Arabidopsis thaliana: one gene and its partner. The protein of the gene in region 2 interacts with the protein of the main gene of each other region in a biochemical or structural test. Each region holds a gene or a part of one and is shown on either strand. Other genes may lie near its edges.

Evidence for each region. The genes of interacting proteins can lie anywhere in the genome.
Region 1: the proteins of AT4G35540 (region 2) and TBP2 form a complex in vitro, tested with the Arabidopsis thaliana proteins (one study listed by BioGRID).

Annotation. Positions count from the first base shown.
Region 1 is NC_003070.9:20,724,915-20,729,980, reverse strand, and holds TBP2 (TATA binding protein 2), read left to right. Parts: upstream 1-1,889; 5' UTR 1,890-2,153; intron 2,154-2,494; 5' UTR 2,495-2,497; coding exon 2,498-2,574; intron 2,575-2,669; coding exon 2,670-2,757; intron 2,758-2,868; coding exon 2,869-2,940; intron 2,941-3,026; coding exon 3,027-3,077; intron 3,078-3,202; coding exon 3,203-3,247; intron 3,248-3,391; coding exon 3,392-3,484; intron 3,485-3,575; coding exon 3,576-3,677; coding exon of another isoform or gene 3,678-3,707; exon of another isoform or gene 3,708-3,756; coding exon 3,757-3,831; 3' UTR 3,832-3,837; exon of another isoform or gene 3,838-3,925; 3' UTR 3,926-4,475; downstream 4,476-5,066. Other genes in the region: AT1G55530 (RING/U-box superfamily protein), read left to right, coding at 1-509; BCDH BETA1 (branched-chain alpha-keto acid decarboxylase E1 beta subunit), read right to left, coding at 4,476-4,511, 4,594-4,680, 4,769-4,846, 4,938-5,033. UniProt on the Arabidopsis thaliana protein: General transcription factor (GTF) that functions at the core of the DNA-binding multiprotein factor TFIID.
Region 2 is NC_003075.7:16,871,920-16,876,115, forward strand, and holds AT4G35540 (POLLEN-EXPRESSED TRANSCRIPTION FACTOR 2), read left to right. Parts: upstream 1-1,915; 5' UTR 1,916-2,019; coding exon 2,020-3,603; 3' UTR 3,604-3,679; downstream 3,680-4,196. Other genes in the region: AT4G35530 (phosphatidylinositolglycan-like protein), read right to left, coding at 6-122, 267-405, 609-663, 762-846, 1,170-1,361; WOX13 (WUSCHEL related homeobox 13), read right to left, coding at 3,895-3,980, 4,104-4,196. UniProt on the Arabidopsis thaliana protein: Plant-specific TFIIB-related protein that plays important roles in pollen germination and embryogenesis, possibly by regulating gene expression through interaction with TBP2 and the subunits of RNA polymerases. Binds double-stranded DNA in vitro.

The sequences.
Region 1 (5,066 bases), on a different chromosome or scaffold from region 2:
GATTTGAAATGTTGCTTCAACGTCTAGCTGAGAATGATCCCAACAGATATGGAACACCTCCTGCTAAAAAAGAAGCTGTCGAGGCTTTGGCTACTGTGAAAATCGAAGAGACTCTGCAATGTTCGGTTTGTTTAGATGATTTTGAGATTGGAACTGAGGCAAAGCTGATGCCCTGTACGCACAAGTTTCATAGTGACTGCTTGTTACCATGGCTTGAGCTTCACAGTTCATGCCCGGTTTGCAGATATCAGTTACCTGCAGATGAAGCCAAGACTGATTCAGTAACAACAACGAGCGATAACAATGGAAGCAGTAGTGCTTCTGCTACAACCAGCCATGGAGCTGAGAACAGCGATGGAAACCGGCGCCAAGAAGAAGAAGAAGAAGAAGAAGAGGAGGAGGAGGAGGAGAACGAGAACAATGACGGAAGCGGATTCTCGATCCCGTGGCCGTTTAGCACCTTGTTCTCCTCGTCGCAAGATAGCAATGCACCAACGGATTCTAGTTAAGACATGTTCCCTGAGCAACATAAGCTTTTTGGTGTGATCATGAAATCTCGGTTCTACCTAAATCTGATCTTTTGTCTGTACATAAGTTTCTCAGATTTGGTTGAATGCTACATCTTTGGAAAACAAATATCTTTCAGTTTGTGTTTTTTTAATTGTTTTTGAGCAAATCTTTTGCCGGATTCTGTAAGTCGCTTGTGTGTTTTTTGTTGTCAACCAAAGCCACTTTTGCAACTTAGTTTGTTAAATTAATGCCTTAATGGTAAAATAACAAGATTGGTGGCTGTAGTACGAATTGTGTTGGTAATAAATTATAAATTTAAACATAAAAAGTAATTTAACATTCATCACCTTTGTTGTATGAAATGGAATTGTATAATATTGTATGCCTAATTACTTAGACCGACTCGTTTAATATGTCGTCATCCAAAACAAAATATGATGTCTTTTACTAAACTTAATGAAGTGATGCTTTTTCCTTGTGTTAATCCATGATTGCATTACCATGTAATCTTTTGTTTACGCGTAAACATTAATTAGAATTTATAAAAGCTAGAGTTCACATGTGTAAAATGCGACCAAAGTTACCAACTTTATGCGCTATTAACGAACCTTTTGACATTAACGAACTTAACTTTGATATAGTATATATACTAATATATTAACGTTTCACCAAATCTCCTTGTATATATATAAGTATTGTAGTATCAACTTATTACATTATCTCTCAGATTAGTCATAATCCAAAAGAAGAAGTAATGAATCGTCAGGTTTTATCCCTAATCACTTTGATTATTCTCTTGGTCTCCGCGTACAACACGACTATGGGCCGAACTCTGCCGAGTAAGTGACCGTCTTTGATCATACAAATACAATCACGCATAAACAAAACTCATATTCAGTTCTTAATCTCTTTTTTTATTATTATTATAAATTAAGGGGAAGGAAATGGAGCACAACAATTTGATAATCTAAAAGCTGGTGTCAGACGAAGTGAATCGGCACGTACTCGTCAGAAAGGACCCGGACACTGATGAGTGATGATCTCTAACAAGTTTTAGTTGGCACCTTCATGCAATAATTGATAATCTACTGCTTTGTAATAAGTCCGTCGTTGTGGCGATTCATAGTCTCTACTCGATTCATATTTGTGAACGTGTCTTGAGTTATAGTCTTACATATAGATCCAACAAAAAAACGTATGCTAACACATTCTGTAATAGAACACGTGGCAGACAAAGAGTGGACGGTTCCCTAAAATTCCAGTAAAGACCGTAACATTAAAATCTAATAAGCTGAATTCCCATAATTACCCTCATCCGACAAAGAGAGGCAAGGGTAGTTTAGGAAAGTATATAGAGGTAATAACGTGTCCTTAAGCTCCACAGATCCAAAGCGCAGATCACAAATCTCATCCCCAGAGAGAGAACCCAGAGAGCGATATTGAAAATCAAAACTCTCTCCTTTATATATAATCCCAATTTACAAATCTCTTTCCCTCTCTAAAAATTTCTTATCTTTGTATAAAAAGCCTTCTCCTTTTTCAAATCATTCACCTTCCTTTCGCCTTTTCGGGGGAATTTCTTCCAATCTGTTGGGTTTACGAAACCCTAGATTTCGAAATTCCGGATTGCTAACTAGCGAAAGGTCTGATTTTGTTTCGTACCCTTTGTTCCTAATGGATTCAATTCCACGGATTTTATCTGAATTGAGTTTCTTCGTAGTTGCTTGTTACGAATTGGATCTCATGTTCTGAAGTTGTGTGTTTCATAGCTTTTCGTTGTTTGATTGTGAAACAATGTTTCTAGATTTCAATTATCAAAACTGGTTTTTAGATAACCAGATTTGGTCAATGAAATTGTAAAGCTTGAAAACAATTTTGTTTCGTGGATGCTTGTTGGTTTGGATCGACATGAGTTTCTGTTTTGCCCTATTTAAGACGAGATTTATAGCTGATGTGTGTGTGTTTACGTTGATTCTTATGTTAGAGAATGGCTGATCAAGGAACGGAAGGGAGCCAGCCAGTTGACCTTACTAAACATCCTTCAGGGATTGTTCCTACTCTTCAGTGAGTTCTCTCTTTTGTGTCTCTGTTTTAAGATTCTGAGTTTGTGCTTTTGTGAATCACAAGATCTTACCTTTTTCTTTTTTGGTTTGTTTCAGAAATATTGTCTCAACAGTGAACTTAGACTGCAAGCTTGATCTTAAAGCCATAGCTTTGCAAGCTAGGAATGCTGAATATAACCCCAAGGTTTTGCTTTCTTTGTGATATTCGTGTTTTAGTAATCGATCATTTTGTTTGGTCTCCACCACTTTGGTTTGTATTTTCGGATTTGGTTTTAATCTGTGTTTTATGTTCCAGCGTTTCGCTGCTGTAATCATGAGGATCAGAGAGCCAAAGACCACAGCGTTAATTTTTGCTTCTGGGAAAATGGTATGTTTTCCTTTGTCACTTTTTCTCTTATGGCCTAATCTTCCATGTCCTTGTTTTGACGTGGCATCTATGCTGTCCAATATTAGGTGTGTACCGGAGCTAAAAGTGAACATCTTTCAAAGCTTGCTGCAAGAAAGGTAAACTAGCTCATCTCAATACTGTCTGATGTTCTTCTTCTAGCATCACTGTAGTTAGAAACTTGTTACAGCTCTAGTAGGTATTTGTTCTCTGTTATATTAAAGAATTCCTTTTTGTTGTTCAGTATGCTCGGATTGTTCAAAAGCTTGGCTTTCCTGCAAAGTTCAAGGTACTCATATGTCTCTCTCTGGTCCTGATCCAGCACACACTGTGTTATTCATTTTTATCTCAATCAACAATTCGTGTGTATTTTTATCGGAAGGAAAAATTACGTATAAAGTCTAGTAATAAAATTGCTGATTACATTTTGCAGGATTTTAAGATACAGAACATTGTAGGCTCATGTGATGTCAAATTCCCCATTAGGCTTGAAGGTCTTGCATACTCTCATAGTGCTTTCTCAAGTGTAAGTGATCTCAAGCATTGTGATCATATATACTTGTAACATGGGTGTTAATCGGTCTGATGATTCATACCTCTCTCATCATTGATGCCAGTACGAGCCTGAGCTATTTCCAGGATTGATATATAGGATGAAACTTCCAAAGATTGTACTGCTTATTTTTGTGTCAGGAAAGATTGTTATAACTGGAGCCAAGGTAATAATTGAACTTCTCTCAAATGATTAAAATTGTTTCCATGAAAATGCTTCTGTCATCTTATGAAATCCCGAATCAGATGAGAGAAGAGACTTATACCGCATTTGAGAATATCTACCCAGTTCTTAGAGAATTCAGGAAGGTCCAGCAATAATAGTATGTAAGTTCAACTTTCTTTATCTCCATTTACATTTTATACCCCTTAATCAATCAACAGTTTGATTATGACTATTTCGATTCGAAAGCAGAGCCTACCATATTGAAGGCAAAAACCATGTTCACGTTTGGATTGCCATGAACTAGAGATCTCGGGTGTTGGCAGGCGCTTGGTGGGGTTATATTCCTTGGACAAGAACTTGAAATGATTCAGATTCAAAACCAGAAATTGTAAATAGAGAATGGAGATGCCAATAAATCTCTTTTCTTTTTGTTCTAAAAATGTCTTCCAAGTAATCTTGTTTCATGTTCTGTTTGTTTCAGTGAACAATACCCAATCATTAAAGAGTTACTTAGTTCTTTGCTAACTGTTCTGTAATAAGACACCAAGTCTGTTTGCCCTTTAATATACTCTTTCAAGCAATTTGCCGCTCTGGTTTGTCAAATGTTTGGATCATAAGCTTTCATCTTTCAGTAGATAATAATCTTCGTACACATTAAGTGAGATAGTCCTATTATAACATGTTTTCGTTATCTTGAAATTCATTAAAGTTAATCGGTAGTGTTACATTAGACGAATTGATAACAAAGACATGCGATTACATTAGTCCTAGTGTAAACAGTAAACTACAGATAGTACGGCTAGTAATTCACAGTCGATTTGATTGCATCCAATATCTGCATCAAGCAAGAACACATGATATGTTAGAAACTGCGTTTTGGGTCGGAATAGAGGAATGATAAGAGAAGAGGAACTTGCCTTGTTCTTGGTGGGCATGTAGAATGGTTCAAACACAAGAGGAAATGGAGTATCCAGACCACAAACTCTGCTTACTGGAGCTTCTAACTGCATTTTAAATGACAGTTAAGAAACGGAGAACCAATAAAGAGTAGTCACTTGTAACGGTGATGATTTGAGCTTTCTTTTTACTAACCTTCAAAAAGCAACGTTCCAGAATTGTTGCAGAGATCTCTGCTCCAAAACCTCCTGTTACAGGAGCTTCATGGCTTATCTGCAACCCCAAGCACAAGCAAAAGCAATCTATAAGATCGACCAGACAAATCAAAATCCGAAGTTGTCAATCAAGATTGCTTAAATCTTACAAGAAGTCTGCCAGTCTTTTTAACTGAAGCCTCAACGGTTTCTTTGTCCCAAGGAAGCAGTGTCTTGAGATCTATCAGTTCACATGATATTCCTTCCTGCATCAACTCAAGACCTTAGTTAATATTACT
Region 2 (4,196 bases):
TGCAGTTAACTAGATACATCATGTTCTTCTTCAGCTATCGTTTCACTTTGGTGGTCTGTACCGATAGCAGCACACAATGCTTTCCAAATGGGAACCAACATCTTCAATGGAGGACGCAGTTCCTGTCCAAAGAGGAAATTGAACTCAAAATCAATTGCTATAAGTAATATTCCCGAATTGAATAATTGGTAACTCTAGATTGTTTCTCAAAGTTGTCAGCAGAAGTTTTTCTCTCACAATGTAATGAAACAAACTGGTGCCATTACCTTAAACACCAATGTAAGTTGTTCTTCACCACGAAGAAATAAAGAGAGACTCCAGTAACACGTAATGGGAGTGACACATTCGACCAACACAGGCTTCAAAATCTTGTCAATAGGGATAAACCTGGAGACAGTTTTTCCACTGCAAAGCAGAAGCATGCACAAAAAAGTAGGTACTTGTATGATTGGTAAAACTTAAAAGCATAGATCATAATGGTTCATGATAATTACAACAAATTCAACCATTACCACCTATCTTAGAGACCACTAATACGGAGTAGTTCAAAGCATTAAGCCATCATGGAGTGCAGACAACAGAATACTAACTAAATGGATAAAGCATACCTTAAATATTGAGTTTCAAGTTGGATCCCGAAGGTTGGCAAGATTATCACAGATTCTGAAGAAATCAAAGAAAAGCTAGAATTAGTTAAAACGTGAAGCTGATATCATTTGGTAAGCCTGTAAAGCGTGTATCAGGATGAACCAGGATCTCACCTTTCTTGACGAACTTGCGACTATGTAGCATAACCAAGAAACCACTTAAAAGGCAGCCCCAAGAAAGAGTTCTAGCTGGATTGTCCTGTTTCATGTGAATTATCCCTTTCAACTTAAGTGAAGAAGAAACAAATGGAACAACAACAAAACAAGCTTGTAAAGTAACACAAAAAAAGAAAAGTGCTTTTATACAAACCTTGTCATGTATTAACATAATGCTCACAACAGAATGAAAATATCAAACTATACTCCATCACCAATCCTAAGAAACAAAATGGTATGCCTTTCTCATGATATGTACTAGCAACACTTGTTCTAAGCAATGCATCAGAATCACTCAAATGTCAAGCAGATTCACATCAAAATAACAAACGGCAACAACCAAATTTTCTCTAAGAGCATAATTACCTTTCCAAGCAAAAAGTACATAGAACTCGCCAGAAACACAAGGAAGAAACCAAGCCCCCAACGACGGGCATAACCAGTTCCGCTGCTTCCGTTGATAATCACATGGTGAATATCAATGGCTTCTCTAGTTGACTTACTTCCACTTTCGTGTATGTAAGTGTATCTCTTATTCGAAACAGACAAGCTCACCATTTCAAAGCTAGTTTAGTTGAAAAACAGTCAAATGTATCACCGTCGTTTTACTCCCAACTCATATACGAACCTGCCCAAGGTTAGCTTTCTCAATACCCAAGTAACAATTTTCAAACTTTGAGTCTCAGTCAAATCGGATAGCAACAAAACTTCTCTGCGGCTTTCCGTCGAACACCATGCGTGCGTTATAATAACCCCTCTTGAAATCTCATAAATCTCTCTAACTATCTCCACACAACTTCCTCGAAAACACAGTAGCAATCTATCAAAAAGGACGAAGCAAGGATTCACCCAACGAACGAAAGCCACAATTCTTCGAATTGATCAAATCTGAAACCGGCTTCTCTTACCGGTAAAGAGATAAAAGACGGCACTATGGTGGAGGAGACAACAAAAAGCCAAAAGAGAGAAAATAATACAAACTGTGTGGCGTCCTAAATAAAACACCCTGGCGTTTTTGTTTTATTCATATTAACATCATGCCGTTTTCATCTCGACAATATAAAAACCTAGCTTATTTTTAAGGAAAGGTCAAATCTTAATTAGTTTTGATTTCTCTCTCCAGTACTTCTCGATTCGCCGGCGATCCGAATCTCATTCTTCTGCTTGTCGGAAAAAAAAACCCGTAATTTAAAGTGTGAAGCTTTCGGTTTGAATCATGCGTTGCAAGAGATGCAATGGAAGCAACTTTGAACGCGACGAAGACACGGGGAATTCGTATTGCGGTGGATGTGGGACATTACGAGAGTATGATAATTATGAGGCACAACTTGGCGGCATAAGAGGACCTCAAGGTACATATATACGAGTAGGCACCATTGGTAGAGGCTCTGTTCTTGATTATAAAGACAAGAAGATCTATGAAGCCAACAATTTAATTGAGGAGACAACAGAAAGATTGAATCTTGGTAATAAAACTGAAGTGATTAAGAGTATGATTAGTAAGCTTACTGATGGGGAATTTGGACAAGGTGAGTGGTTCCCTATTTTGATTGGAGCTTGTTGTTATGCTGTGGTAAGAGAAGAAGGGAAAGGTGTTTTGTCTATGGAAGAGGTTGCTTATGAAGTTGGATGTGATTTGCATCAGTTAGGGCCTATGATTAAGCGTGTTGTGGATCATCTAGATTTGGAATTGCGAGAGTTTGATCTTGTGGGTTTGTTTACCAAGACGGTTACTAATTCACCGAGATTGACTGATGTTGATAGGGATAAGAAGGAGAAGATAATAAAGCAAGGGACTTTCCTGATGAATTGTGCGTTGAAATGGTTTTTGTCGACGGGGAGGAGACCAATGCCTTTGGTTGTGGCTGTTTTGGCGTTTGTTGTTCAAGTGAATGGTGTGAAGGTAAAGATTGATGATTTGGCGAAAGATGCTAGTGTTTCGTTGACTACTTGTAAAACGCGGTATAAAGAGTTATCTGAGAAGCTTGTGAAGGTTGCTGAAGAGGTGGGTTTGCCTTGGGCGAAAGATGTTACTGTGAAGAATGTTTTGAAACATTCAGGAACTTTGTTTGCTTTAATGGAAGCCAAGTCCATGAAAAAGAGAAAACAAGGGACTGGGAAAGAATTAGTTAGAACTGATGGATTTTGTGTGGAGGATTTAGTGATGGACTGCCTAAGCAAAGAATCTATGTATTGTTATGATGATGATGCTCGTCAAGATACTATGTCTCGGTATTTTGATGTAGAAGGTGAACGTCAGCTTAGTTTATGTAACTATGATGATAATATATCGGAGAATCAGTTGTCTACAAAGTATAATGAATTTGAGGATCGAGTTTGTGGTGGGACTCTTGCGAAAAGAAGTCAGGGAAGTAGTCAGAGTATGTGGCAAAGGAGATCTGTTTTTGGAATGGTGTCAACTGAAAATTGGTGGAAAGGGAAATCGGAATTGAGTAAAAGGCTTTTGCTCAAAGACTTGTTGGAGAAAGATGTAGGGCTTGAAGCTTTGCCTCCTTCTTACATAAAGGGTTGCGTTGCAGTTGAAAGACGAAGAGAAAAGATTAAGGCAGCTAAGTTGCGGATTAATGCAATACAACATCCTTCTGACAATGTTAGTGAAGGTGCGTTGTCTTTGGAGCTTGAACATAGCAAGAAGAAAAGGAAGAAAGGATCTGAAATTGATTGGGAGGATTTGGTTATACAGACTCTGGTCTTACACAATGTGAATGAGGAAGAAATAGAGAAAGGCCATTACAAAACTTTGTTAGACTTGCATGTTTTCAACTCTGGAGAGGTTTGAATTGAAATGTTTTTCTCTTGGAATTTTTTTATTTCTTACAGTATAATTCATTTAAGGATGTAAAAATCGTTCTGAATGCAGAAATTATCAAAGCAAGCATCACAAGACGATTCAACAATCCATGTAAATGTTTCTCTGAAAATGATTAATAAGATAAACTACTTGTTTCTTTAATAAGCCCTGAAAGAAACAATTTAAGAAAAACAAAAGTCTAATACTGCTTATGACTGACTACCAAATCCATTTCATTGATCTCTCTGATAATTAGAAGTTTCCTCAGCTTGTATTCAATCAGCCTGACATGCCATAATCTTCAACATGATCATAAAGGTTGTAACTTTCCGCCAGTCCCATCTTTCCAACAAGATGCTCATCCCCTACAAACACAAATCACAAGAAATTATCTGAGACAGACACAACTTACTTGACTATTTCTTCAAAGCCAATGTCTCTGTTTTTTTCAGTTACGTGTGAACTAAAAAGGTATCTTTGTTACTTACTTGGGTTTGATAGAACATCTAGCAAGTGAAGGTCTGAGCTAATCTCAGGGCTCTGAAAGCAAAGATCTTCAGGCCTAGGAGCAGTAGTTGTTG